4 linked regions of the Tamandua tetradactyla genome follow. The main gene of each other region encodes a partner of the protein of the gene in region 4 in a complex. Links are inferred from orthologs where the notes say so. Each region holds a gene or a part of one and is shown on either strand. Other genes may lie near its edges.

Region 1 (7,146 bases), on a different chromosome or scaffold from region 4:
GGGCCTTTATACTGCTTCTAACGCTTAATGTTACAGAGCATGAGGCAATAAACACTCCTGTATAGATTAAAATATTTCCATAGATTTATGGAAATTTTTTTAATCAGTTTTGAAAGTGAAATTGTTGGGTCTAAGGATATGAATTTTACATATCATATCCACCTAGAGTATATAAAAATACCTGTTCCCCACACCTTCTCTAATACTGGGTATCATAATTTAATCTTTACCAATCTATGAGTGAAAATGTTACTTTGTTGTTTTAGTTTGCTTTTTATTATTAAATTCTTTTCCTTAATAATTTATATGAGCCTTTTTTATCTTGTTTGTCCTATGTGTTGCAAGTATTTTTTTCTCAATCTGTGATTTGGCATCGTATTCAGAGATGGGATATTCTAACTAAAAAGGGACTTTCTCAGTATTTCTGGGGATATAAAAACGTGTCCTAAAGAGGTGGGGTTGCCATATGATCTTGCAACCCCGTTGACAGGAGGAACTGAGAGTGTGGACACAAATGGACATTTACTGGTGTTTATGGCGGAGTGTTGGCGATTCGCAATGGATGGAGGTGGCCTAAGGGTAAAAATACTGAGGAATGGAAGGGGGAGCTATGGTTCTGAGGTGGACAACTAAGTGGATGACCCTTAAGGACAGTATGCTGAATAAAATGTCAGGAACAAAAAGACAAAAAAACAAAAAAAAACTTACCCTAAAGAGATCCTTATTCAGAGAAGTAGAGGGGATCTTATTGAGTGCTGATCTGTGAAGGCATCTACTGCCTGGACTCAGAGTTACAGTGAAAACCAGTCTCCCAAAGCAAACCATTCAGAGGAACCCGGAACTCTTAGAGCAGTTAGGCAGCTGGGAAGGAATTATCTAAGCTCCCATACTGCTGCCCACCACTAGCCCTTACAGAGCAACAGACAGGCAAATCTTGATCCAAAATATAAGGCAGCTTGAAACTTCAGAAGCAGTAAGGGCATATCCCACAAATCGAATCTGATTGTGAGCCTGGGTTATGTACTTTTTCTTGTTAATCAAGTTACAGATACCAACTTATCTCATAAAGAATGGAAATATTCTCTGAATAATACTCACCAAAAAAGAGTCGAATGACTTCAATTCCAAGATAAAGGAAAAGCATCACCACATCCAGTATGAGGTTGGCTGTTGGATATGGCAATAGGAGACCTGCCAATAAGAAAGACATGGTTTGCAAACAACACATAACAGCACCCACAAGGACTCCCACACACTTGGGAAGAAAGAGATGAGTCTTATCAGCTTTCCAAAAACTAGTTAGTGAGAATGTAGACGCTATTACAGCTGTGGGATAAGTTAACTCATAGTGTGACTATGTTTGTTAGAGGGAGGCCCATTATTATGGGGTTTTATTCTTAATTCCAAAAACCTGTGGACACATCCACATGATCTGACAAACGTAGGCACACAGGCCACTAAATAGTTTCTGAGGGTCACCAATGGCCTTAGACTGAATTGAACAAAGAAAAGTGATGGGCGAGTCAAAATGGAGACTAATTCATTTCCTAAACTCAAGAAATTCTTACTGAGAGTCTTCCTACTTATTCTCCAGGAAACTATCTAATGAAGAGACTTCTGCCTTGCAGTGAAGAGAAGCTACAAGAGGCAGAAAAGAATGGAAATAGGCTCTGGGGTGAAGTGGGGAAGGGATATTGGAGCACGGTTAGTCAAGCCCCAAGCCTTACCTTTATAGAGAAATATGAAGAGTTCCAGCAGGAAATAGGTAGCATAATACCACCCGTTCAGAAAAAACAGGATTTCCAGGGGCGTGGAGGACAACCGTTTACCTGAAAAGATGGACACAGACAAAAGGGTTGGGCGGGGGGGGGGGGGGGGGTGTGGGGGGAGTTCAATCTCCTTTCCCTGCACCGTTCGGTGTCTAACTTGGGAAAACCCGAGGTCGCTGCTGGGGGGAAAGGCTGTTGGGTTGTGAGGGGTCTTCCTTCCCTCCCCATTTCTCCTCGGAATCAACCGCCAAACCCAACTCTGTCTTTCGGGTTCGGAGGTGAAAGCCAAGAGGAAGCTCAGAGGGTATCCCAGCCGACAGGCGCCGCTAAGATCTCATCCCATCACTATTCGACACTGGCCTGTTCAAGGTCACGCGGCGCATTCCTAACCGAGCCGGCCTGGAACAAAGCCAGCCAAGGATTTGGGGGTGTCTGAGACCGCACCTCGAGACCTTCGGGCTCTCAAGGTGGGTGAGGCTACAAAACCCCGCTTTGGACATGTGAGGAGCAATGTCTTCACCACCTGACAGCGGAGTGTTTAGGTCGAGCTCTGGGAGAGAAGGGAGGTCGGAGTGGGGGGAGACGGGGGGCCAGCGACTCACACACCTCCGGAACCTCACCTCGCGGCGCCATCTTCCGTCCCCATGGAAACTGCATACGCGGCAGTCTCCGCTCCGGGAGCAGCGAGGCGCCGCGGGAAGCGGAGGATGGAGCGGCCCGCATTGGCCTTTCTGCCCGCTCGCCGTACTCTATGGCTGCCCCGGGCGGAGCCGCCCTGGGTGCCGTCTGCGCGTGCGCCGGGAGGAGCCGTGGCTGCAGGTGCTGCTGGCAGAGAGCGCAGTTCGTGGGGGCTGGCGAGCATTGGCCTCCCGCGACGCTGTCGCCCTGCGTTGCTGCGCTTTGGGCAGGAGGGGCCAGTTGTGACAATGGATCCAGAGAATTGGCAGACAGATCCTAGCCCCGCGGTTCTCTTTCCTAACAACCGCCCGGGGACGGAGTCGGGGTGCCCCATGCTGCTCAGCAAACGCCTGCTGGGGTTTAGCCTTGGTCTTTTGTGCGGCACGTTTACGTACCAGGTAGTCAGGGACACTGAAAGGAATCGGAAGGAGAGCTTCTTGGGTTTTGAAGCCTGGTTCCGATTTGGGGCAGGGGAGTGGAAAGAGAAAGAGCTTTGAGCGGACGCAGGCTGACTTGACTGTGACTCCGTTGTCAGGGTCCTTGAGGACACATGGCAGAGTCGAAACAGCGATTTGAAGAGAGTGGCTAATCTTCAAGGAACAGTACTGGAGTCCTGGCTGGTGTGTGTGTGTGTGTGTGTGTGTGTGTGTGTGTGTAGGGGCGGGGGTGGGGGTGGGGAGCTGCTGTTGATCCCTGGGTGAAAAGAGGCAGTAATTGTTATTTCTCCAGGGCTTAAAGGGAAGGGGGCCTTGGAAGCCTGGAGAGAGTAATGTGTAAGAAGCAGGCCTGCCCAGAAGAGCTGTGACAGTTTGGAGGGTGGGTGGTGCAGTATGCAGCCCTGTACTCCTCTCCTCCACCTCGCAGGCTCTGATTTGCTCCAACCTGTGAGAATCAAACTAAGCTTAGCTCTCACAAAGGTGACGCAGGCAGGGAAAGGGGAGGGCTTCTGACGCAAGGCCGAATCCTTAATGGCCAGGGTCATTGAAAAGGTAAAACGTAAACAAAGGGGGAACCTGCGGCGGGAAGTTCACAGTAGTTAGATTATCCGGATAGGCTGTAACCTCTGGGGTAGCCGATCAGCCGAGAAACGGGAGGGACTGCGGGTCCGGCACAGGAATAACTTTCAGCTTCTGTGGTTTGGCTCCAGCCCCCCTTGTGTGTTCCTCTAGGCGCCCGTTCTTGCAAGATGGTGAATAAATTGTCTTCTCCTCCGCAATCGGATGAGCGTTTGTTCTCCTTCAGGTACGGCGTTCGTTCTGACAACTTTGGGGGCCCTTCCGGGATCCCAGGCTTCGCAGGAGCACCCACCCACCCCCAGGAGGAAGGGAAGGCGCACCCCGCTGATTGAGCGGTCTTAAACTCTGTCACTGGGGGCCAGCTGCCGACAGCCGGGATGCTTCGAGCCACCGACTGTGAACGAGAAAGAGGAGGGGCTGCCTCACAGTAAGCAAGCAACTCTGTGCACGGACCAAGGTAAGAAATCGGCTGTTAAGTATTGCCTGGGTGGTCAGGAAGGATCCTGATGAGTCTGAGGTGGAGTGTGTGTGTGTGTATGTGTGTGTGTGTGTGTGTGTGTGTGTATCTGAGACGCCCAAACATGTGCCGGGTCCCAAACCACCGTGAGGAAAAGGGGGCTGGAGACGGTGAAAGTGAAACAGGGATGAGAGAAAGGGACCTTGGCAAGACACAGGATGGGGAATAGAGGCAGGCGGCTTACCTGGAGAAGAAAGGGAGGGGGTGCTGGTAGACGTTCAGGGGACATTCCCCTGGACAGTCCATTAGGGAGAATGTTAAAATATTGGGCTGATAATTATGGAACAAAGGGGAAGGACAAAAAGGAAATGGTTAAATATTGTTGTTATATTATGACCAAAGAAAGCGTTGTGCTGTCCGATATATTCTGGCCAAAATACGGGGCAGATGAGGGTTGGATTTGTACAAACCTCGTGCTTTATGCTAATAAGAACCCTTTCTCGAAAGATGACTCGGATTATGCCAAGTGTTGGCTAAAGGGAAGGGAGAGTCCTCTTTATCCTGTAAAGGTAGCAGAGTCAGAGGCTAAATCTTTAGAAGCTAAAGCCTGGGATCCTTTATTGAGTCTTTCCTGCCCTGTGCTCCTCCCCCAGGACAGGGACTGTTGGACCCTGAAGGCCCAAGAAGACTAACATGCATTCCCCACCCCCACCTGCCTCAGGGAGCGGGAGGGGCAATCAGGGCCAACTGTTCCACCTGTGACAGTCCACCAACCATTGAGGAAGGAGGTGGAACAACGTAAGAAAGATGGAATTTTCCATTTCCGAGGGCTCCTGAGGGTAAAAGGGTGAGGTAGCATAGGCCTTATAAGTCGATATTCCCTCTTAGAGAAGTTCCTATTGGACCAGGGGAAACTGGTTATGTCAGTGTCCCCTTGACCAGTACAGAAATGAGGAACTTTAAGAAAAGAAATGAAATCGTTACTGGATGATCCAGTAGGGCTAGGTGAACAACTGGATCAATTTTTAGGGCCCAGCTTATACACCTGGTCTGCATTTACATCCTCATGGGGGAAGAAAGGGCACAGGTGAGGAGGGCATCTATGGAAAAATGAGAGAGGCAGCCCCCACCTGGACAAGGGATGATGGCAGCAGAGCAGCAGTTCCCTAATGTAGATTCCAACTGGGATAATAATGATGAGGAAGACAGGGTACAAATGAGAAATCTTAGAGACCTCATTATACAAGGGGTATAGTTGTTAATACCCAAATCTCAGAACTTAAATAAGGCCTTTGAGGTGGCCCAAGAAAATGATGAGACTCCTTCTGCTTACCTACAAAGGTTGAGAGACCAGGCAAAGAAATACTCAGGAATGGACCCTAATAGTCGTGTGGCCCGAGGAATATTAAAGGTCAGCTGTGAAGGGATCTTGGCCTGATAGAAAAAGATCTAGAAAATAGATGGATAAACCACTGGAAGAGTAATCTGGAGAATCCCAGAAAGTATTTGTGAGATAGGAAGACAAAAGATAAGCAGAAAGCTAAAGTCATGATAAGCACATGATGACCACATGGTCAAGAAGAGATTAGAGATAAAGCAGGGAGGAGACAGGCACAGGCAAGATAGAGAGTTGGAGCTAGAGGAAATAAAGGAGAGAGGAGGGCCCGGGACACAGCAGTTCTGTGTATCACTGTGGGATAACATGTTAAAGGGGAGTGGTTGAGTTTAAAGAAAGAAGGTCGGGGTGAGACCCCTGATGAATTTTGAAGATTGGGGAGGTCAGAGGCCCCTTGCCTCAAGAGCCCACCAGGAGACTTTGGTAAATCTGAAGGTGGGTCTATATTCAAGAAGCAATTACATTTTTGGTAGACACTGTGGCAGCTCCATCTTCCGTGCACCACATCCCAAAGGGGATTGAATTCTCTGGTAGCTCTGTCACGGTTTGGGGAGTAAAAGGCGAAAGGTTTCAAGTCCCCATTTTCAAACCTACTAATATCTGTTGAGAAGGGAACCAAATTATAAGTTCCCTGTTCAGAAGCTGGGAGTAATTTATTGGGAAGAGATCTGATAATACCCATGGGACTGGACCTGGAGGTGAGGGATGGCCAAGTAGAAGTTGTCTTAAGCCTTGCTTACCGAGAAAGATAAGAAAGGCATCCAAGAAAAAGTATGGGTGAGGGAGGGAAGTGGGGGAGTTGCACGTTTCCTCTATAAAAATTAAAATGTAAAAGGAAGGGGAGGTGGTTTGTCAAAAAGAGTCTCCCATCCCATTGAAGGGGAGACAAGGACATCATCCAGTCATCGAAGGTCTCCTTCGAGATGGGCTCTGGGAAACTGAATGTCCCCTTTCAGTAATCCCGTTCTTCCCACCCAGAAAGCAGCTGGTAGCTGGAGGGTGGTTCAGGACCTGAGAGCCATCAATCAAATTGTTCAGGTTAGACACCCCGTGGTCCCTAACCCTTATATGCTCCTATGATGGATTCCCTACCATCATAAGTGGTTCAGTGTAGTAGATCCGAAGGGTGCCTTTTGGGTCTGCCCTCTTACCCCAGAGAGTAGGGACTTGTTCGCCTTTGAATGGGAAAATCCCTTCACTAGAAGGAGGCAGCAATATAGGTGGATGGTCCTACCCCAGGGCTTCACAGAGTCCCCCAATCTCTTTGGGAAGGAACTAGAAAAAGTGTTGGGAAGGTTTTCTATCCCATCTGAAATTACCCTTTTACAGTATGTAAATGATCTGTTAATATCGGGTAAAGAAAAGCTAGGGCATTGCCCAGGCTGCAGGGGACCTGTTGAGCTTCCTGGGGGGCCAAGAACTAAGGGTATCAAAAAATAAAACTACAGGTTGTGAAAAGGGAAGTTAAATACTTAGGCCATCTCGTAAGTGAAGGGAAAAAAGGAAAGTAAATCCAGAGAGAATTCAGGCCATAATTAGATCGCCTCTTCCCTGGACAAAGAGGGAACTAAGGAAGTTCTTAGGATTAGTGGTGTACTGTAGGTTGTAGGTAGATTCTTCAGCCTCTCCAACTAAAGGGTTATACCAAAAACTGTTAGAGGAAGAGCCTGACAAATTAGAGTGGAGGGAGGGGGGAGTAGGAGCTGCAGAAGGGCTCAGACGGGCACTGATGAAGGCTCCTGTCCTAACTCTCCCCTCCCTCGAGAAACCTCTCCATCTATTTGCTACAGTAGATAAAGGAACAGCATTAGGGCTACTAACCCAACCCTG
Region 2 (7,698 bases), on a different chromosome or scaffold from region 4:
AGGGGTGTGGACCTTCCTGGCAACGTGGGACAGAAATCCTAGAATGAGCTGGAACTCAGCATCAAGGGATTGAGAAAATCTTCTCCACCAAATGAGGGAAGAGTGAAAAGAGACAAAATAAAGTGTCAGTGGCTGAGAGATTCCAAACAGAGTCGAGAGGTTATCCTGGAGGTTATTCTTAAGCATCAAATAGATATCACCTGTTTAGTTAAGGTGAAATGGAGAGACTGGAGGGAACATCCTGGAAATGTGGAGCTGTGCTCTGGTGGCCATGTTTCTTGAAGATAATTGTATGATGATATGGCTGTCGCAGTGTGACTGTGGTTGTGAGAGCCTTGTGTCTGATGCTCCTTTTGTCTACCTTATTGACGGACAAGTAAAACACATGGATTAAAAATAAATAAATAATAAGGGGAAAAATGTTAAAATAAATTTAGTAGATTGAAATGCTGGTGATCGGTGAAGGGGAGGGGTAAAGGGTATGGTATGTATGAATATTTTTTTGTTTTCTTTTTATTGCTTTTTCTGAATTGATGCAGATGTTCTAAAAATGATCATAATGATGAATATACAACTATGTGAAGATAGTGTGAGTTATTGACTATATAACAAGAACAGAATGATCATATGATAAGAATGCTTGTCTTTGTATGTGGTTATGGATCATAAATAAAAAATAAATAAATTTTTAAAAAAAGACATTAGTTCCTTTCCTTCCAAGCAAAAAAAAAAGACCGAGGCCACTGGAACCAATACTGCATGGGTTCAAGTCCAGAAACATACTCCTTAGGTTATAATTTTAGTGCTGCTACTTAATTTCTTTGTGCCTCAGCTGCTTCTTTGGCAAAATGGGGTAGTATTAGTACCTACCTCAAAGGGTCAGAATGAGTATTAAACTAGTTATTAGATGTAAAGGGTTTTAACAGGGTTGAGCACACAGTGGGTATTATGTTTGCTACCAATTTAAGCACCAGCATAATTAAACTATAAATAAGATTATTGATAAACTTCTGTGGGTAACTTTACATTTCCATGTCACCCATCCATATACATAGATTGAATGAATTACCTTGATTCAAAAAATTCACGGAATCACTGTTTCCCTCAACTTGGATACATAGTGAACATTATAAACACTACTCAACTTGCTGAATAGGTAGGTGTAGCATCCTATAAGGGCAGTAAGTGAAAACAGCACCCATAGGAGTCTCTGTAGTACAATGCATGCAATATCTGGATTTGTAATTATAAGCTAATGCCTTACACCTTTAGAGTCTCTTCAATGTTTTCTCATTCACACTTCCTTACTTGAGTGTCCTGACCTGTCTTGTTCAATAATCCAAGTGAAAATATATCAAATTTGAAGATGACAGAAGTACCATCTTAGTACCATGGTGTGCTTGTTTTAAAGTGTGTACCCCAGAAAAGCCATGTCCTTTAATCCTGATTCAATATTGTAAACCTTTGGTTAGATTGTTACCATGAAGACTGACCCCCTCAATTGTGGGTGTGGCCTTTTGATTGGATGGAGATGTGACTCTGCCCTTTCAAGGTGGGTGTTGATTAATTTACAACAGTCCCTTAAAAGGGGAAACATTTTAGAGAAAGCTCAGATGCTGAGCTTGGACAACAGCTGCTTCAGAGACAACACAGTTATGTGAGAGCCAACATGAGACCCAGATGTTTGGAGATACGGAAAGAAAATGCCACCTGGGGAAGCTGTTTGAAACCAGAAGCCAGAGAGCCCAACAGATCCAACCACATTCCTTCCCAGCCTACAGAGGTGTTTTGGACCCATCCACCCTTCTTGAGGCAAGGTATATTTCTCAAGACACCTTAGTTTGTACATTTTCATGGCCTTGGAATTGTAGACTTGTAAGTTAATAAATTCCCTTTATAAAAGCTGTTCAATTTCTGTTATATTTTATTCTAGCAGCTTTAGCAAACCAATACACATGGATAACCAAATCAAGATAAAATATTTGAGAATTTAGAATATGGGAGATTTATGGAACAGTGTCCATGAGGCAAACTAAGACAAATGATGGAAGTAAGGAGACAAAAAATGAATTAGCTTAATCTAAAGAAATATTAAAGAGCAACTAGTATTACTCAACAATACAAAGGGCTAAGTCCTAATGAAATTTAAATTAAGGACACACTGTATGGTGGAAATATGTAGTTTCAGACTGAGGACAAATAGACACGAGTTCTTCACTTCTTCAATTTAGGTTGCAAAGAAGATATTACAACCTCTTCAGAAGATCTTCAATTTACTTATCTGTAAAACGGGGAAACTGGATCTGATCATAGTCACAATCCCTCCCAGCCCTAAATTCTGGGATTTGAAAAGTAAGATAAACGGCAGTCAAAGATTACAATTGCAAAATGTGTATCTCCTGTCAAACCTTCTTGTCATCTACTCCTCTGCGTCTCACCTTCTCTATTCTTTTTTTCTCTCTCGGCTGCTTTCCAGGTGCTATCTAAAGACCTCCGGATGAGGGGAGAGGCATTAGTGCCGAAAATTGAAGAACCAGAACTGTTCCCGGGGTAGCGGACTCCGGGTTCCCCAAATTCATTAGCAATCCTCCAAGGAAACAGTCCCCTCAGTCGTCGGCGGTTAACTTTTCTGATATATTCTTCCCGCCGATTAAAAAAATAGGCGTTTCAGCGACGCCGGGATTAAGGACAGCACCAAGGAGGAAGGGTTACTTTTGCCGGAACTCATCCCAAAAGGTCTCACCTCGGACGTCCCGCCTCTGATTGGCTCCACACGGGACACAGGAAAGCGCGGAGATATCGAAGTACTGATTGTGGCCGCAAGTATCCGGCTGCCGGAAGGGGAAAGAGAAGGTCTGGGCTTGCAAGACGCGCGGAAGGACCAAAAGGAGAAACGCAGTCACAGTGGGCGAAGACAAAGCGGACCAAACCGCCATTGCCAACCCAGCCCCACAGCCGCCCGTCGCCATGGTGCCGATACCTGAAGCAGTCTACCCCTCTGCACCCCATCGGTCTCTGCGACGAATCCGCGATGCTGATTGGACAACTTCCCCGTCACACCTCCCCCATCCCCGCCTCGCATTTTGGATTCGTTTCGGAGCCTGGTTGCTAGGTTACCAAACATAGCCGGCGGGTGTGGAAAACCTTGGGTTAAAATCAGACTCCCCCTAGAGCCTGAAGGGCTCGCAAGTCTTATAATAAAGTATGTTGTTTCAAACTCTGAGAAGCGACTCATTCGATTTAGGGGGTCGGAAATAGAACGAGAATGATAATATCTGATTGCATTACATAAATTAAGGGGAAGTATTGTTTTCCGATAATGTTGTTAAATATTTCCATCAGAATGTATCCACACTAAGCAAATTTCACGTCAAAGAAGATATTCCAACGTGTATTTGGTTCTGTGGATAACATTTTAAAAGTATGCAATGTTGGAGCATTGCTATGGCTCAAGCACTAAGAAAAAATCTTTCCTGCCAGACGTTTTTCTACTTCCCTTGTTTGAAGAATAGGAAACCATGTAAATAAAATAAGATCATCTTTTTTACACCACTTGTTAATAAATAAAGGAGAAACCTATTTAAAAAAAATCAAATGTACACATATATGAATGTTGTCTTTCAAAGCAGTCATCCTTGGAGGCTGTTAACCTCAAAACATTTTGGAATTACTTTCAGAGCCAATTTATGGATAGCAAAAGAAAAACTAATCTCCTTATATTTAAATCTCATTTTTGTTTTTGTTGCTTCTAATTTGACAGTTATATTTTGTCTCTCTCCTCCAATCAAATCACCTGGCATATTTTTAAGCTGCTTCATCTATCAATAGTACCTAGAAATGACTTTGGGCTTAAAAAACAATTTCATAATAATAAAAATGATGATTTGTCACTAGTTAAGGATTCTTAGTTCATGTGGAAAATACATCTAGGAAAGTTAATAACTTTAATCATTAACCACCATTAGGCCTACTTTTCCTCAATGTGGCCTTTCCCAAAAGACCAGCATTCACCCACTCACTAATCCCTATGACATAGCAGGCATGTGTTTTGAAAAGCTGTTTCTAAAGAAGTCTAAATATATTTTTGAGTAATTACTGGGTTATTTGAAGTGTCTAATTTGAAGTGGAAATCAGTTATCTGAATACAACTTAAAAAATATTTGGCCATGTAAATATTAATGGGGACTCAGGTAGGGTATGGTCAAAATAGTTGGGATTAATTTGCAAACGTTTGCTATGGGTGGGTTTCAAATCTAGTCTTCCTTGATGAAGTATATATTCTTATATGCTTTGTGGAAGTGATTAGGGCACTAATATTTACTCCTTGTCTTCTGTATAATTAAAGCCATAGAAGAGCTCCTCCATTTATTAAAATGGAGGTTGGGATTAACCCTGCATAGGGTGTGCAAGGGATAACAGGGGAAGAGATATTGTAGATTTGGGAGTGTGGGTGAGGAGGAAAGGACTTTAATAAGAAACCAAAACAAGCAGAGGGAGCCAAAGTACAAACTGCCCATACCTCATGGGGGGACCACCCTGATCCTGATGTGTGTCCCCTCACCGCCCTTCAGGCCCCCAGCGGAGCCCAAGGCCTGGAGCTTCCATCTCAGGTTCCTCCTCAGCTGGGGCAGGTCTTTCTGTGACTCTAGTTCCTCAAAGGCCAGCAGCAGAAGCTGGTAGCCCATTAGACCCAGGTGCCATTCCCTCAGAGGCAGGAGCCCAACAGCACCCTGCATCTCAGCAGAAAGGCCAGCGTCCCACAGCATCAGCATCACCCTTTGTGTAGGATCTCAAGTCATGGGCTTAGAGGCAGCCTGGCCCTGAGGAGGTATAAGAGAGCAGGCACACAGGAGGAAAACATGTACCTGTATGTCCCTGAGGTGCAGAATATATATGGGCTGTGACAGGAGATGAGGTTGGAAAGGTAGGCAGGAATGAAAATGAAAGCTCTTGAATGCCTATATTTGCCTACTGTGGTTTGAAGCTTGTTAAAACTTTAAGCTAAGGAATAACCTGATCAGATTTGCAATTTAGAAAATGTAATCCTGAGACAAAGTACATAGAAAACTCTAGAGTTACAGACCAATTGGACTGCTAAAGCAGAAATCCAGAATCTAAATTAGGGCAATGAAAGAAGAGAGAGGTAGGAGAGGATGAATGAAAGAGCTATTGAAGTGGAAGAATCATGAGAACTTTATAGCTTGGATATAGGAAATAAAGAAACAGAAATAGTCCAGCATAACTCCCAAGCTTCTGATTTAGTTGGCTTTGTTGATGGTTGTGAAACTAAGGGAAGATAGAAGATGCCTGGGGTAGATCAATGTTTCTTGAGAAAACATTATTTGAATAGATTACAGAAAAAATAAAAACAGGTTGCAACTAAAGATATGAGAATTATTTAAAATGTTAGTTGTAGCAGGAACCATGATGATAACGAAAATAAATGATAGTAATTGCTGGTTTTCTATGACCCAGGCAGTGTAATATCTCATTTGATCCTAAATTGTGATTAGCTAAATCACAGTTGCCAGATTCGGCTTCCTAGGTTCTTGGCCATGCCGCAAGAAACAATTCAAGGGCACAGCCCAAAGAGTTAAGCAGGCAGAAAATTGAGTACATGCAGGCAAGGAGAATGCAGACACTTTTACAAAAAAAGAGGGGTGAGAGGCGAGAGGCCCCCACAATGTGAGGCAATCTACTTTTATAGGTTAGCTTTACTTACTCCCCCTTCCCCTTCTTTGTTTAGGCCTCTTTCTCCTACCCTCCCTTCTCTCCAGGGTGGTGCATTTGGGTGGTTGACTCCACCCTTCTCTGTAAATGACTTACTCAGGTAGAGGTCATATGGCTCCAGGTGCTACTTATTGCTGTTCTTCTCAGAGATATCTTCCACCTTGAAGCCTGACTGCTTTTTAGAGTTTTCCCTGTGCTTAGCCAGTTACCACCCTAATTCTAACCCTACCTCATTTCCCCCTCAGAGGTTTCCTAGCTCCCTTAAGAGAATTTGGGCCAATGGTCCATCTTTTATAGCTGCTTCAAGCTGTCAGTGGGGTTACAGGCCCTACTTGTGTTAGCATAAAAGTCTCTGGCTATGCTATTGAGAGTGGCTGGTTGAGTGTGGGGAACAGGCATGCAGCCTCTGGTGAGGAAAACTTTGTTGTGAAAGGCTTTTAATATGGAAGAAACAAACTGGGTGAGAAATTGTATACATGGTCTGAACAGAAGCAGGAGCAAGATGGAGCTCAGAGTATTTAGAGTTTTTAGGAAAATTATTGATTGGGGCTTGTCCTAATGTGGCAGTTTGCAATTTCTGGCTGAAATTTGTATAATAAAAATGTCTAGAATGACTTCTCATCTCTATTTGAAATTTCTTAGCCCCTGGAATTTCATTTTTCTTTTTTTGGTCAATTAATTCTATAACACAGGGTCAGACTTTCTTTAGAAGTGTTGCCTCATGTTACTAGGAAGACTTACACCCCTGGAAGTCATGTGCCATGTAAGGGAGAAGGTAGTGAGTTTATTTGCAGAATTTGGCTTAAAGAGAGATACTACATCTGAGCAATAAAAGAGGATCTCTGGGGATGAGTTATAGGCATTAGTTATAAGAAGGCTTAACTTTGCTATTATAGAAATAAATCAAATAAGGGAAAGCCTCAAGATCAAGGGCTTGGCTTATTAAATACAGGTCCCTTATTGCATAGGAGAATAGCAAGAATTCCCTAAGTGGGGAAGTTAAATAGCTTCACATTTTTCTCTAGTCCTTTAAGGGACTTTGCAAATATTTTTTTTAATTTTATGATTAAGATTTTATTCTTTATTCTAGGTTCCATGTTGAATAAAGCTGAATTAAGTTGTTTTTAATGATCTATAAATTTTCCTATCATGCAAATCAGTATCAGGATAAAACATGGACAGTGAGAACATTGTTAAGTTTTTAGGAATCTTATAAAATTGTAAATATATGAATAACATTTAACTTACATAAATTTACTTAACAAAAGGATAGAAAATCTCTCTTAGTTATTATATTTAATATGATTTTAACCCCTCAGTTTCACAAGGTGAAACAACAAATCTTTTGCAACAGTTCTTTTAAAAGTAAGAAAACTTATCTTTTGAAATAAAGGATGATAAGGTTAGTATAAACATATAGATAGAATATTCAGATGGTTAAGGGAGCAGCATTAATTATGACAAGACATATTTTTAAAAGCCCTCTATAACTCTTTATACATAGGGCTTATAGTCAGCAGTGATTATAAACAAAACCTACTTTCTTAAATTTTCATTTTGAGAAAATTTTTACAACTTTCTACATCCATCCAGGGTTTGTAGTCAGCAATGACGACAAAATTCACTTGCTTAAACCTTCTGCATCTTTCCATATCCATCCAGGACTGATAGCAATGCCCTACGACAAACAAAATATACTTTCACAAACTTTCTATAACTTTCTATATCCATCTAGGGCTTGTAGTCAGAACTAACTTCAAATAAGATCCACTTTCATGCTAGGAATATGTCAGACTGTGCTTTGAGGCAACTGGAGGTTAGTAAGGTCTGCTGCTAAACCATCCTTAAAGATATGGGGTCTATTTTGAAACCCATGGGGTAGCATTGCCTAAGTGAGTAGGGCAGAAATCTTATTCTTATGTCCTTGGCATTCAACAGCAAGTAGGTATTGAGATCCAGGGTGAAGAG
Region 3 (7,284 bases), on a different chromosome or scaffold from region 4:
TATCAAGTAGATATCACCTTGTTGTTCAAGATGTAGTGGAGAGGCTGGAGGGAATTGCCTGAAAATGTAGTGCTGTGTTCCAGTAGTCATGTTTCTTAATGATGATTGAACAATGATATAGCTTTCACAATGAGACTCTGTGAATGTGAAAACTTTATGTCTGATGCTCCTTTTAGCTACTATATCAACAGAAGAGTAGAACATATGGCATAAAAATAAATAATAGGGGGAACAAATGTTAAATTCAGTTTGAAATGGTGGTAAATGAAAGCGAGGGGTAAGAGGTTTGGTATGTATAGTCTTTTTTTTCTCTATTATCATTTTATTTCTTTTTCTGTTGTCTTTTTATTTCTTTTTCTAAATCGATGCAAATGTACTAAGAAATGATGAATATGCAACTATGTGATGATATTAAGAATTACTGATTGTATATGTAGAATGGAATGATATCTAAATGTTTTGTTTGTTAATTTTTTTAATTAATAAAAAAAGTTAAAAAAAAAAAACAAAACAGTCCCCAAAAAGGCACAATGGGAAAAAAAAATGTGTGATTGAGGGGAAGTGCCATGTTTTGTCAATAAATACAATCCTTTCCTAGTCCAAGGCACAAAAGTTCTCCCCCTTAAATTTATGTGCTTCTCTCTAGCTTTGTAAAATGATGTGCAAACCAATGTAAATAAGAACATGCAGCTTCCCTGCCTTATGAATTTAAAATTATAATCCTGCTTTATTTTCCAAAACTTAAAAGGAAAAGAGCTACAGGACTACTAAAGAGAAAGGAGAAGTATTAACAATCCCACTTAGGAAAAAAAGTGTCTCCCTCTAGGATGTGAGTGCACTTAATCAGCCAACAAGGATCTGTTGACGACTCTCTGGGTCTAAGCAGCACTTGGCTGCTCTTACACACCACTTAACATCTACAAGCCTGGCTTGTAGAGCAGAGGACAAATGGGTACAAATGAACCAAGCTGATTCAAGATGAACAGTTACCACTCTTCTCTTCCACCAATACTGCCTGTGACCCATTCTGCAAATAGCTGTCCAGTTCTCTATAGTGGGTCAACTTCCTTCCTGCTCAACCACTTACCAGTCATATGACCTTAAATTAACCAAGTAATTGAACTACCTAAAAAATGAGGGTAACAGTATCCCCATCACAGGGTTTTTATGCGGATTAAACGAGATACATGGGAGGTGAAATACTTAGCACAGTGCCTGCCACTTAATAAAAGTTAATAAATGGGGCAGGCCACGGTGGCTCAGCAGGCAAGAATGCTTGCCTGCCATGCCAGAGGACCCGGGTTCGATTCCTGGTGCCTGCCCATGTAAGAAAAAAGAGTTAATAAATGAAAGTTATCATTACCATCACAAGTAATGATAGGTAAAGAGGGGTCCTTTAAAAAGGTGAAGATCAGTACAAATTCATCCTCCATCTGGAAAACAGTTCTGAATACAAACACTACTAATGATAATTCAAGAATAGTTTCTTGGGGACAAGATTCATTAGCAAATGGATTACTTACATAAAAAACACAGTTCCAAAAGCTTTAGAGAACTTCAGACATTCACTAGTCTGCTGTCTTCTGTCTCAATTTATCACTGATTTAACTTCCTTACTAACTCATCAAATCAATTGTTTAAATACAAAAGTTTTGTGTGTATATATTCAAATAACAAATGGATTTCACTGTACTTTTTCTTACATACTACTCATAATCAAAGGAGGGCTTCTGGAGAAATAATGGTTCAGGAACCAAAGTTAAGTCCTACGCTTCAAAGTCATCAGTCAATGATGACTTTTCTAGTTATTAAGTCTTACCCTATTTAAGTAAAAATCTTTTTCTCTTAAGACAGGATATATATATATATATTGCACACCTACTGCAGTTACTCCCAATCCGCACACAGGATTTACATTTTTATCATTTTGAGATCACAAACCCCTTTGAGAATCTGCTGACCACTATGGCCCTCACCCCAGAAAAATGCAGTCGCAAAATTGTGCACTCAATTTCAGGAGGTCATAGACACTCCCTGAAGTCATCTGTGGAAAATCAGATTATAAAATATTCACTAAATGTGTAACTCCCAGGTTAGAGGGTCGCTTTCTGAGATATATGCTAACTATCCCTAAATATGACTTCTAAGAAGGGGGCATAACCCCTCACCCCATATCTTCCTGCATCCAACTGGGTTTTCATATTAAAAATCAAGAGACATTAACGTGTCATCCTGTCTATAAAATCTGATGTTAAACTTTTGTTCCCGGCTCAGACTTTCAGAGGCTAAGCCCAATGGCCACGGAAGAACAAAAACCTACTTTCTGAAAAAAAAAAAAATTAACAGACAAGGGTCTCGACTTCACATTTAGTAAGCTAAACCTTCGGCATCTCTCTTTCACGTAAGTAAAAAGTTAAATGCATCTTCTTGATGAAATTTCATCTTTGGCTACACGGCCTCACTCAGTGTTACTTTGAGCATTAATTTGTCCGGTATCACCGCAAGAACTTTCAAAAATATGATTTTCCGCACTTATGCTCTCCGAGCCTATTTATAAAACGGGGATCAGTGTTGTTGGAAATGTTAAACAATGCCTATAAAACACTGAGCAGTATCTGGCACACGTAAGTGTTCAATAAAAGTTAGCTATCATTGGTATTATTACATTCTTCCCTAGGTTACCTCCTTCTAGCTGGAACACTCCGGACCCCAAAGAATTGGCTCGAGGTACCCACCATCCGTGACTGGGGTGGGCCTGGAGCGGGAGGAGGGATCCGGAACCCTGGGAGTGTCGATGGGCTCAGGCGACCGAGAGGCTCCGAGGATCGCTGGAGCTGCCCGGGTGAGGGTGGGGACCTCCGTCGTCACCGCCGGGGTGGCCCCGGCCCGGGCGCTCTCGGGGGCCCAGCAGCCCAGGAGTACGAGGAGGAGCGGCCAGAGGCCTCGCGGCCCCATCACCCAGCTGAACCCCCCGCGGCCGACGCTGCGGCCCACGCGTTGCTTGGCAACGGCAGGGGCCAGGCGCGGAGCATGACGGGAAAGGGCCTGTGAAGCAGCTAGGGTGGCGGGAGACCTGCTGGGGCGGGGCGAGGGAGGGGCGGGGGCGGGGCGAGGCCCACGGTAGCCGGGATGAGGAAGGGTGGGGTCCGCAGGGCGGGGCCCAGAGGCGGAGCGAAGCCGCCCAGACAAGGCACTTGTAAGTTTAGTTATGGTTTCCTAACCCCACCTTAGCGCCTATTTAAAATATGCGGATTTCCAGCCCAGGGGATTCTGATTCAGTAGGTCTAGAGAGTGGCAGCCAAGAGTCAGTATTTTTAATAAAGGTCTTGACGCAGCCGGTGTGCGGGCGGAGATTTGGGAGCCGCATTTCTGACGAGACGACATACGGGTCTTTTGAAGGGGTGCGTGAGGATCACGTCACCGTCGTTTTGGTGCTTCCCGAGAGGGGTCCGCAAATAATGTTTGTCCACCTTTTTGTGGTAACAGGGGAAAATAAACACAACATTTTCACAGACGGAAAAAAAACACCTGACAAAAATTAAGTAGGGTGATTTTTTTTTTTGAGTAGGTTGATCTCTAAGTCTTAAAAGAAAAACAAACAAAAAACAAACCCAATCTACTATAACTCTACAAAATGGTAAGGAGAACACAAGACTTAGTGATATCGGTCAAAAGTGGTGGGTTCTCTGCCCCAGGCGCTGAAATGATAAATTCCTGAGACGGGGGTGGGAGTGGGGGGTAGGGGGGTGGGGGAGGTATTTCAAAGAGAGAAAAATTATTGTTAGGTGCGAAATAGATGATCTCATGGCCTAGCTAAAAATCTGTCTCCTGAATTGCAATAATTCTGAAGGTTTTATGGTCCCAAAGGATGGTCAGGTTTTAGGATAATAAGCACAATGACTCAAGATGACAAAATTAGAGATAATCTAATTATTGAGCATGTGCAGGTTGATTACATCCTTAGTCAAGAAGGTATGTCAGCAAAATGGCGGTCTTAATATGATGAGGGGCATGATTTTTAATATTATAATGAGGTATAGGTCATGAATAGGTTGAAGTCTAAGCTACTGCACATGTCAGGCGGGCCCATTTTGGTGAGAGCCAGCTTCCTCTATCAACATAGCTTTGGAATTGGAATGGGTTAGTTCTGGGCTGACTCAGGACCCTTCATTCATAAACACTAGGGGCTGTCTTTAGTGATCATAAGACTCTGAAGTTGAAAAATGGGATACAGCTCTCACAGTTGTGAGAGTCAGTCACAAGGATTTTATAATCACAAGATAAAGACTGTCATTATACAATATTATCAGAGATAAGACACCTGGATTAGTAATTTCAGGTATTTCCTCTGTCTATTCTAATATACTAGAAAGTAAAAAGAAATATCTATATAATGATTTGGTAATCATAATCATTTCTCAATCCTAACTTTTCAATTACATTAGGATGCCCTTCTGTTGTAAACTGGATTATTTATAAAGAAGTACCTGAACCTGTGAATGGTGGGTATACCTTTGACACTCTCCTTGTATTTCAGATGTAGATGTGAAAATACTTATACACATCCTGATATTTATTCAAGAAACACAGTTTACCCATTCAGAAGAATGCCGAAATAGTATATATACTGGTATATTTAATTTATATAGCAAAGCTAAATTATCAAAGTGACATTGTTAGGGCCTTCCTGTGGCATTCCAGAGAAAGTGAATAAAAATATAATTTAAAAAAACATAAAATATCATTGGATCATTCAAATCTATAATACAAATATTTCCAATTTTTTTCTGCCAACTATTGCCTTAGTATCTGTGCCATTTTGAATCTGTTGTGTACCCTAGAAAAGCCATGTCCTTTAATCCTCATTCAGTATTGCTGAATGATATCTTTTTTATTATTGTTTCCATGGAGATGTGGCCCACCCAAGTGTGGGTGGTAACTTTTGATTAGATAGTTTCCATGGAGATGCGTTTCCACTCATTCAGGGTGGGGTTTGCTTACCAGAGCCCTTTAAGAGGAAACCATTTTGGAAGAATCTTTAGAGCCACCAGAATCAATGGAGTCACCAGAACTGACTGAGTCTGCATAACCAGAGACCTTTGGAGATGAAAAAGGAAAACACCCCCTGGGGGGGTCTCATGAAGCAAGAAGCTGGGAGAGAAAGCTAGCAGATGTCACCATGTGCCCTTCCAACTGAGAGAGAAACCCCGAACTTCATCGGCCTTTCTTGAATGAAGGTAACTCTTGTTGGTACCTTAATTTGGACATTTTCACAGCTTTAGGACTGTAAACTTGCAACGTATTAAATTCCCCTTTTTAAAAGTGATTTCGTTTCTGGTATCACATTCTGGCAACCTGCAAACTAGACCAGCATCCGACTGAAATTCTAGACCGTTTTTAATAACTGATGAAATGCTTCCTTTAAAAAAAAAAAAAAAACGGTATTTTTCAACACAGTTTGAAACTTCTCATCACATAACTTCTAAGTCCAGGACTTTTTAATTTTTTTTTTTTAAAAGGGAAAGAAGTCTTTTCTTCTAGACCTCTATTTTCTTTTTATTTCTAATATCTGTGAATCACTTAGTCCTATTTTCTGTTTTGAAATTTTAGGCTGTTTGATTGAATTTGATAAAGTGCCCTATGACTTTAACATTTTTGTCTTTATGATTATATGACCTTTGAGATTCTCTTCAAGTAAAATATTCCATGATTCCAACTGAGACCTGCTGCATGATTTGGTAACTAATCTCATCACCTCTTTCTGTCCAATCTCAAACACTCAGTAGATGACCTAAAAACAATCTATGACATCTTACAAAGTCAAAATGAAGGTTAAGTTAACTCAGATACATTTTGTAAACCTTAGGGAAATTGGAACGAACTTTTCATTTCACGGATTATCCATTTCTGTCAGGTTACACCCTCTTGAATCTGGGTTTTTTCATCTTTCTCACAATGCCCCCTTCTCCCTTCCTTTTACCCAGGCTTTATCATTATGATGTGAAAATAACAGGAGAGGCTAAGTTATTTTCCCATATTTTATCCAGCTGCACAGCATTTGGATTGTATATAAATGTTTGTGATTAAAAATGTCCATCTGACTTTACACCAAAAACATGGGCAACAAAATAAAAAATAGATGAATGGAACCTAATCGAAGTTAAAAACATTTGCACATCAAAGTATTTTATCAGGAAAGTAAAATGATGACCTACAGAATGGGAGAAAGTATTGAATATTCTATATATTCTTTATATAGAATATATAAAGAACTCGTACAACTCAACAACAAAAAGACAACTGTGTTTAATGTACAAAAGACTTGAACAGACATTTCTCCAAAGAAGATATATAAATGACCAAAAAGCAAATGAAGAGATGCTCATTGTCATCAACCATCAGGGAAATGTAAATCAAAATCACAAGTACCATTTCACACCCACTGGAATGGCTACTACTTAAAAAAACAGAAAATAACAAGTATTGGAGAAGATGCGGAGAAGTAAGAACCCTTGTACATTGTTGGTGGCAATGTAAAATAGCGTAGCTGCTGTAGAAAACAATTTGGCAATTCCTTAGAGAGTTCCGTATAGCATTACTCTGACCCAGTAATCCCACCTCTAGGTATATACCCCAAAGAATTGAGGGAAAGGACTTGAGCAGATATTTGCACATCGGTGTTCATAGTGACATTTTTCATAATTGCCAAGAGGTGGAAGCAACATCAAGTGTCCGTCTATACATGAATGGATAAACACAATGCAATGTGGTATATACATAAAATGGAATATTACTTTGCTGTAAAAAATGAAGTTCTGATACATACTACACCATGGATGAACCTTGAAAACATCAAGTTGAGTGAAATAAGTCAGACATAAAGGGACAGATACTGTCTGACCTCATTTATATGAAAACAATATGCAAATTCATAAAGTCAGAAACTAGAAGACAGGCTACCAGGAGCCTGGTGGGGAATGGGAAGTTAGTGTTTAATTGGTACGGGGTTTCTGTTTGGGGTGTTGGAAAAGTTTTGGCAATGAATGATGGGGGTGGAGGCACAACTTTGTGAATGTAGTTAACACTGCTGAATTATATATTCAAAAGTGAACAAAAAAAGGAAATTTTAGGTTGAATATAAGTTATCAAAAAGAAGACATAAAACTGTACAACTCAGAGTTAAACTTTAATTAAACTATTGGTTATAGTTAATAGTATAATTATAGTAATATTGTTTCATCTATTGCATTTATGCACAATGTTAAGATTAGGGAAAACTGTATG
Region 4 (7,978 bases):
ATGGAAATGTAAGAGTGGAATATTAATACATTTCAGTTTAGTTCTGTAATGTCAGGAATTTTTCAAAAAAAAAATTAAAAGATGGACTGGAGCTTTTTCTTTGTGAATAGAAACTGGGAAAAAAAATAAATAAATAATAGGGGGAACAAATGTTACAACAAAATTAGTAGATTGAAATGCTAGTGATCAATGAAAGGGAGGGGTAAGGGTATGTTATCTATGATTTTTTTCTGTTTTTTTATTTCTTTTTCTGAATTGATGCAAATGTTCTAAGAAATGATCATGATGATGAATATACAACTATGTGATGATATTGTGAACTACTGATTATATATATAGAATAGAATGATCATATGGTAAGAATGTTTATGTTTGTATGTTGGTGTTCTAGTTTGCTAGCTGCCGGAATGCGATATACCAGAATCCCGCTGGCTTTTAAAAGGGGGAATTTAATGAGTTGCTAGTTTACAGTTCTAAGGCCGAGAAAATGCCCAATTAAAACAAGTCTATAGAAACGTCCAATCAAAGGCATCCAGGAAAAGACACCTTGATTCAAGAAGGCCGATGATATTCTCTCTCAGCTGGAAGGGCACATGGCGAGAAAGACGTCATGTGCTACTTTCTCTCCTGGCTTCCCGTTTCATGAAGCTCTCCGGGAGGCATTTTCCTTCTTCATCTCCAAAGGTCCCTGGCTTGTGGGCTCTCTGCTTCTCATGGCTATGTCGTTCTTCTCTGCTCTCTATGAATCTCCTTCTTTCTCCAAAATGTTTTTTCTTTTATAGGACTCCAGAAACTTATCAAAACCCACCCAAATGGGTGGAGGCATGTCGTCACTTAATTCAGTTTAACAACCACTCTTGACTAAATCACATCATCAAGGGAGATGATCTGATTACAGTTTCAAACGTTTAGTATCGAATAGGGATTATTCTACCTTAATGAAATGGGATTTTGATTAAAACATGGCTTTTCTGGGGGCATACATCCTTTCAAACCAGCACAGTTGGTATGCTTAATAAATAAAATTAATTAAAAAAAAAAGGGGGGCTTGACTAGTCATCAGCAAAGCACAATGCCACACCAACACACACCCATCAGAGGAAAAAGAGAGGCTCAGAGGAAAAAGAGAGAAATACCAACGGCTGGTGGAAGAGGGGAACCACGAAGGCACTGCCACTGGGAGAGCAAATTGGTTCAACCCCTTGGTAAACTGTTTGGCAGCTTCCTCTATAGCTGAACATGTCCTGTGATTCAGAAATTCCACTCCAACAGTTGTGGACCATGTCCACCAAAAGAGAAATTCCCACCAATGGTAGGATGCAGAACTAGTGGTGTCTTCACACAGTAGAAACGATACAGCAATGAAAAAGAAAGAGCTACAGCTACATGCAACAGTGTGGATGAATTTCATAAAAACACTGAGCAAAAGACTGCAGACACAAGGGAATATATACTGTGTGTGATTTCATTTATATAATGTACCAAAAAATAGGCAAAACTATTCCACATGAAAGGGACAGAGCCATCACTTAAATGCAAGCAGTTGACCTGTGGAGTCCATTTTCGTAATCACTAACCAAAACCAGTGGGGAAGAAATCAACTGAAAAAAAACACTTAAGAAAGGGCACTGACCCCAATCTTGGGGTTTGTTCATATGAAACTTAACCCCTCAAAGGATAGGCTAAGCCTACTTAAAATTAGACTTAAGGGTCACCCCCAAGTGAGCCTCTTTTGTTGCTCAGATGTGGCCTCTCTCTCCAACCAACACAGCAAGCAAACTCACCACCCTCCCCCTCTCTACATGGGACGTGACTCCCAGAGGGGTGTGGATCTTCCTGGCAACGTGGGACAGAAGTCCTAGAATGAGCTGAGACTCAGCATCAAGGGATTGAGAAAAACCCTAGAATGAGCTGAGACTTAGCATCAAGGGATTGAGAAAACTTTCTCCACCACAAGGGGAAGAGAGAAATGAGACAAAATAAAGTGTCGATGGCTGAGAGACTCCAAACAGAGTTGAGAGGTTATCCTGGAGAATTATTCTTACAGATAATATAGATATCATCTTTTTAGTTAAGGTGTAATGGAGAGGCTGGAGGGAACTGCCTGAAACTGTAGAGCTGTGTTCCAGTAGCCATGTTTCTTGAAGATGATTGTATAATGATATAGCTTTCACAGTGTGACTGTGATTGTGAAAGCCTTGTGTCTGATGTTTCTTTTATCTACCTCATGGACAGACGAGTAAAACACATGTAGTAAAAATAAATAAATAATAGGGGGAACAAATGTTGCAATAAAATTAGTAGATTGAAATGCTAGTGATCAATGAAAGGGAAGGGTAAGGGGTATGGTATGTATGAATTTTTTTCTGTTTTCTTTTTATTTCTTTTTCTGAATTGATGGAAATGTTCTAAGAAATGATCATGATGATGAATATGCAACTCTGTGATGATATTGAGAATTACTGATTATATATGTAGAATGGAATGATCCTGTGGGAAGAATGTTTGTGTTTGTATGATGGCATGTTTAATAACTAAAATAAAAAATTAAAATAAAAAAAGAAAGGGCACTGATAGGACTTAATGAACAGTTAGATAGTGGAAGTTATGAAGTGGGGGGTGACCTCCAAGCACAACCTTCAGACTCCTTCGATACCTGTGTGTATCAAGACAGGCAGGATAACAGGTAAATTAACTTAAGGTTTAAGGACAGAGATAGAAAAGAACTATGATCAATTTGGCTAAAGGCAAACGATTTTGTCATAATTTCTTCATATTAAATGGGGCCTATAATATCACCTACCGGGTGGATATCTATGAGGATTAAAGCAGATAATGCATGTAATAGGGTCAGTTCAGAGGCTGGCACAGAGGCAGAACTCATTAAATGGTAGCTTTTTTTTTTTTTTTTCCTTACATGGGCAGGCACTGAGAATCAAACCCGGGTCCTCGGGCATGGCAGGCAAGCACTCTTACCTGCTAAGCCACCGTGGCCCGTCCATGGTAGCTTTTAAATACATCTATTAATGAGATAATCCTGTTCAGTTATTTTATGTCTATATAAATGTTATATTGAAATGTTGCCCCATCATTTCGTGTTGGTGAGTCTAACTTTTGAAGTTCCTGTTTTGCTAAAAATACGGAATCAGTTCTCACTGGAGTCCTGGATCGGGTGGACATAGAAACTGGGGATGGGAAAGGCACTGCGCAGGAATTCAGGTGAACACGGTTGACTCTAGCCCACCCTCCCTGCACCCTTTGCATTGATGAGATAATTGAGACTAGACCCGGGTGGGGTCACAGGAGACCTTATTGGCGGAGTCCAATCTTTAAAAACGAGATTTTTGCAGATAAACAGTGGCTCTGTTTCTCATTTCTCATTTATTCACCCTGGTCTTGTTCGATACCAGCAATATGGGGGAAGAGGGACTATTTCTGAAAAGGAAGTTGAACTTATCCGTCCTTAAGCGGCAGGGGGTAACCTCTAAAAATGGAAGGAAATCCTCCTCCCCAACTTCTGGAGTTTCTCCGAATGGGGAAGGACTTCTTTCCAGTTATGAGGCAGAGGGATGCACACAATGACCTGGAGGGCATGTCCCCCTTGACCTTATCTCAAGTCTCTGGTCTGTGGTCCTGGACGGAAGAGAGTGTTTCTTTGGGGGGTGGGGGGTGGGGGCACTGAACATGGACTGATGCACTTATTTTGTTAAGAGAGTATCTGGGTGCAAATATCCCAAGAAATGATCATGATGATGAATATGCAACTATGTGATGATATTGTGAATTACTGATTATATATGTAGAATGGAATGATCAAAATAGAATACTTGCGCTTGTTTGGTGTTCTTTGGTATTTAAAAAGATAAAATTAAAAAATTTAAAAAAAAAAAGAGAGTATCCGGGCCCTCTTACAGGCAATCCCAACCTCCCAGGAGGCAACCAGTGCAGTTATTTTATCACTGTAAAGAAGGTTTGTCAGTTCTGGAACTTCCTGTAAGTGGAATCATACGGTAAATATTCTTTTACGTTGGACATTTTCTACCATGTATAAAATTTCTGAGGTTCACACATGTTTTGTATATGTCGGTAGTTTTTCTTTTCATTGCTGAGTAGTATTTCATTGTAAGAGTATAACAATTCTTTTAAAATCTATTCTTTTATGGAATTTTGAGTTATTTCTAGTTTGGGGGCCATTTACAAAGCTGGAGTAAACATTTTTGTACAAATCTATTGTGAGCACGTGCTTTCATTTCTCTTGACTAAATAGCTCTAGAATGGAATTATTGGTGATAAGTTGGGCATATATTTATATTTATAAGAAACGACCAGTTTTCCAAATGGTTGAACACTTTTTACTCTCTAATCAGCTAAGAGAGAGAGAGAATATCTGGATAAAACAATTGGAGCGCAAACTTCCTCAGCCACACTCAAGATGGCAGCCGTCCATTCGAGCCCAAGTGTCTGAGAGGAAGGAGAGACGCAGTTTTCCCCAACCGGAACGAGACGGGAGGAGAAAACAGTCAATCACATCCTTACCCCGCCCCCTAAGGACGCCAGCACCAATTAGCGACGCGCAGGGCGGATCTAAGCCTGGGAGGAGCAGGCTGCTGTTGCCCAGCAACAACCAGGGAACCCGGAGGCTGGCGCCGCCGCGGAAAGGCCGCCGCCTCAGCTCTCTCGCTGCCGGAAGGAGCCTGGAGAGGCGGAAGACAGGCCTGAGAAATCAGCGCCCGCTAAGAGAGGGACAGGTTAGCGCCATGGACTGCAATACCCGCTGACACTTTCGCACCCCCTAAACGTTATGTGCGCCGAGTTCGGAACGACGCATGCGCTGCTCTGAGAGGTGGGGCTAAGGCGGTCCTGCGCCCAGAAATGCAGAAACGACGCATGCGCCTCCTGGAGCGCGGGGCCGATCCATGCAAGGGGCGGGGCTTTGCCCCATGTGGGCGGGGTCTTACGCTCCTGGGGCGGGGCTTTCCGCTGTACTGAGCCGGAGGAAAGTATTTTGGGGTGGGACAGTTAAAATGCCAGCTTCTCCGCCCAGCCTGCCTATCTTTCGGTGACTCTTCTGGGGTGACAGTAAGGGTGTGGTTAAATACACAAGCCCGCAGGGGGTTGACGAATCTGGCCTGGAACCTTGGTACTGCCACGTACTTGTCGGACCCCAGTTTCCTCAACTATCATGTGGAGATAATGCACTACCTCACTGTGCTTCTAATTCTCTCCTCTCAGGGCCATGGCCGAGGTGCACGTGATCGGGCAGATCAAGGGGGCCACTGGCTTCTCGGAAAGTAGCCTCTTCTGCAAGTGGGGCGTCCATACAGGTATTCTGGTCCCGGTTCATTTCTTCACCCAGACCCCCAGCCCAGAGGCTCGGCTTTCCTTCCTGATCCTCATCTTCCATCTGCCCTCCGAGTCTGCGCCCAAAGCCCAGTCACCATCCTCATGAGTCTCAGGCTGTCTCAGTAGCTGAGGGCTCTGGCTCTTACCCTCGGAACACACAACCTCTTAAGCATATGGCACTGTAGGCTGTACCCCTCCACTTCCAATCCTCAAAACACTACGCAGCCCGAACTCTGTTTGGACTTCACTCCCTGGCTTAGGGGTGCCCTTAGACTCTCCCTCATCTTAATAATTCTTTGATTAACAAATTGCTGCTATCTTTACAGTTCTTAGTGTAAAGTAGATGTTTCTACCCCATATTTACAGAGGAGAGCTGACCCCCTGGTGTTTATAATTCTCCGTGAAGGTAGCCCACCATTCTGGCAGTCATTCAAGTCTGTCCACAGAGGCAGGCCCAGCAAGGCTCCCAACCCCCCAATTTTCCCACCTTCCCATCGGAGGCAGTATGTGTAGGGGTTAGGGCCACCAGCTCTGGGTTCAAGTACTAATTCCCCCATCAATTAATTGGGGACCATTGGGCTTTCCCTTTCCCAGCCTCAGTTTCTTAAGATAAAAAGCAGCTAAGAGGAGTCACCATGTTGAGGTCAAGAGCATAGACTGCGTTGGTTCAAAAACAGTTGCTACTTCTTAATTATGTGACCTTGCCTCAGTTTCCTTACCTGTACGACAGGAATGATAACAACCTATACATCATGGAGCTGTTGTGAGGACTAAATGAATAGCAATAGCACTTAGCACGTGGTCTGGCAAGCAGGGTTTGCCTGGCTCATATTAGAATTTGAACGGGTCTTGTTTGTAAGGCACCAGGTAAATGACCATGCAATGAGTGTGGCTGTGGCTGTCACTTTCCCTGCAGGCCCCAGGTCCTCTGTGACCTCACTGGTGGGTGGTGTGGTATTGAGATTCCCTGGAAGTTCAGAGTAGATAAGAGGCAGCCTGTAGAGACAGCCCTAGTTTCCAGTCTGGGCCCCACCATTCATCTGCTTTCTGACCCTGGGCAGGTGCTGTCCCCTCTCAGAGCCTCAGTTTCCTCATCTGTAAAGTGGGAGTGGCATTCACCCTCCATAGGTTACTGGGAGAGCTGGTATGTGAAAAGCCTGACTCAGGGCCTGATGCTTTGCTCAGCCAGCCTTGAAGGGAGCAACGACTAACATAATTTGCTAATCTGGGGAGTTGTTGGGGATTGGGGCGGGGGATGGGGGTTAGTCCTGAGGAGAACTCAGGGGCAGTCAGATCAAAGGCTTGGGCTCCATGGTCAGACAGAGCTGAGTTTACTGTGGGACCTTGGTCTGCTGTGGTCACCACTATGCCCCAAGCAGCACCTGGCACACAGCAGGTGTGTAATACATGTTACTGGAATGAATGGTCAAGTGACTTTCCTTCTCAGAGCCTGTTTCTTTACCTATAAAAGAGTATTATATTAGCACTCACCTCATAGGATTTTTCATTTACCCAACAAACTTTTATTGAGAGCCTTCTGTGTGTTGGGTTTGAGATCCTGGGAATAGGCCAGTGAACAAAGTCCCTGCTTTTCCAGTGTTCACAGTAGGGGAGACTGAAAATAAAACTAGCAGATAAAGAAATGAGTGCAATGATTGCAATAGTGGTCAATGCTAGGAAGACAAGAAATGGGATGAAAATGTTAAAATAAATTTAGTTTGAAATGCTAGTGATCAGTGAAAGGGAGGAGAAGGGGTATGGTGTGTATTGTTTTTGTTTTTTTTTTCTGTTTTCGTTTTATTTTTATGTTGTCTTTTTATTTCTTTTTCTGAATTAATGCAAATGTTCTAAGAAATGATCATGATGATGAATAGGCAACTATGTGATGATACTGTGAATTACTGATTATATATGTAGAATGGAATGATCACATATTAAAAAAAAAGTGGGATGATGTGGAAGAGACAAGTTTTTGGATAGCAGGGCTATGGAGAGCCCCTCTGGAAATGGCACTTGAGCTGAGGCCTGAAGGATGAAAAAGAGGTAGCCATAGGGAGAGCCAGGAGTGGCAATTTCTGGGCAGTAAGTGCAAAGGCCCTGAGGTGGGAATGAGCACGGCACACTGGGGAACAGAAATAGGACCAGTGAGGCTGTAAGTTGGGGAGGGGGAAAAGCGATGGGAGCTGAGGATGGGGGTGGGGGAGGGCTTTGAGAGCTGGGGGATGGGGTGGAATGGGTGGGGATTAAGAATCCTAGAGGGTGGCTTAAATGAAGTCATTACCTAAAGTGCTTCATACAGTATCTGGCATGTAGTGAGCACCCAGTATGCTTTTGCTATTGTTATCACCCCTCAACAGAATTGCTATTCTTCCACTGTGCCCCCATAGATGATACCCTCAGCCCCATCTTAGTCTTTGCACTAGGATTTTTAATGTGGGGGTGGGAATAGTGATAAAATATCAAACCCTTACCCAGCACTCACTATTTCCCAGGTGCCGTTCTAGGGGCTTTTTCTGTATTAACTCTGATTCTCTCAAAGAACGATGAGGAAAGTATTATTCTTACACCCATTTTACAGATGAGAGACTGAGGCAGAGAAAGTTATCTCACCCAAGGTTGCAAAGGCAGGAACACG

What was found.
Region 1: B9D2 (region 4) and TMEM216 share a complex: the UniProt entries of both Homo sapiens proteins name them as parts of the tectonic-like complex. The link is inferred for Tamandua tetradactyla from reciprocal best matches to the Homo sapiens genes B9D2 and TMEM216.
Region 2: B9D2 (region 4) and TMEM67 share a complex: the UniProt entries of both Homo sapiens proteins name them as parts of the tectonic-like complex. The link is inferred for Tamandua tetradactyla from reciprocal best matches to the Homo sapiens genes B9D2 and TMEM67.
Region 3: B9D2 (region 4) and TCTN1 share a complex: the UniProt entries of both Homo sapiens proteins name them as parts of the tectonic-like complex. The link is inferred for Tamandua tetradactyla from reciprocal best matches to the Homo sapiens genes B9D2 and TCTN1.

What each region holds. Positions count from the first base shown.
Region 1 is NC_135335.1:13,744,571-13,751,716, forward strand, and holds the start of TMEM216 (transmembrane protein 216), read right to left. Parts: upstream 3,008-7,146; 5' UTR 2,493-3,007; coding exon 2,390-2,492; exon of another isoform or gene 2,376-2,389; intron 2,314-2,375; exon of another isoform or gene 1,951-2,313; intron 1,830-1,950; coding exon 1,728-1,829; intron 1,192-1,727; coding exon 1,099-1,191; intron 1-1,098. UniProt on the Homo sapiens protein: Part of the tectonic-like complex which is required for tissue-specific ciliogenesis and may regulate ciliary membrane composition.
Region 2 is NC_135332.1:137,076,627-137,084,324, reverse strand, and holds the start of TMEM67 (meckelin), read right to left. Parts: upstream 3,015-7,698; 5' UTR 2,970-3,014; coding exon 2,744-2,969; intron 1-2,743. UniProt on the Homo sapiens protein: Required for ciliary structure and function. Part of the tectonic-like complex which is required for tissue-specific ciliogenesis and may regulate ciliary membrane composition.
Region 3 is NC_135331.1:11,363,025-11,370,308, reverse strand, and holds the start of TCTN1 (tectonic-1), read right to left. Parts: upstream 3,014-7,284; 5' UTR 2,956-3,013; coding exon 2,736-2,955; intron 1-2,735. UniProt on the Homo sapiens protein: Component of the tectonic-like complex, a complex localized at the transition zone of primary cilia and acting as a barrier that prevents diffusion of transmembrane proteins between the cilia and plasma membranes.
Region 4 is NC_135342.1:22,440,783-22,448,760, forward strand, and holds the start of B9D2 (B9 domain-containing protein 2), read left to right. Parts: upstream 1-4,961; 5' UTR 4,962-5,024; coding exon 5,025-5,059; exon of another isoform or gene 5,060-5,140; intron 5,141-5,232; coding exon 5,233-5,324; intron 5,325-6,062; exon of another isoform or gene 6,063-6,248; intron 6,249-7,978. UniProt on the Homo sapiens protein: Component of the tectonic-like complex, a complex localized at the transition zone of primary cilia and acting as a barrier that prevents diffusion of transmembrane proteins between the cilia and plasma membranes.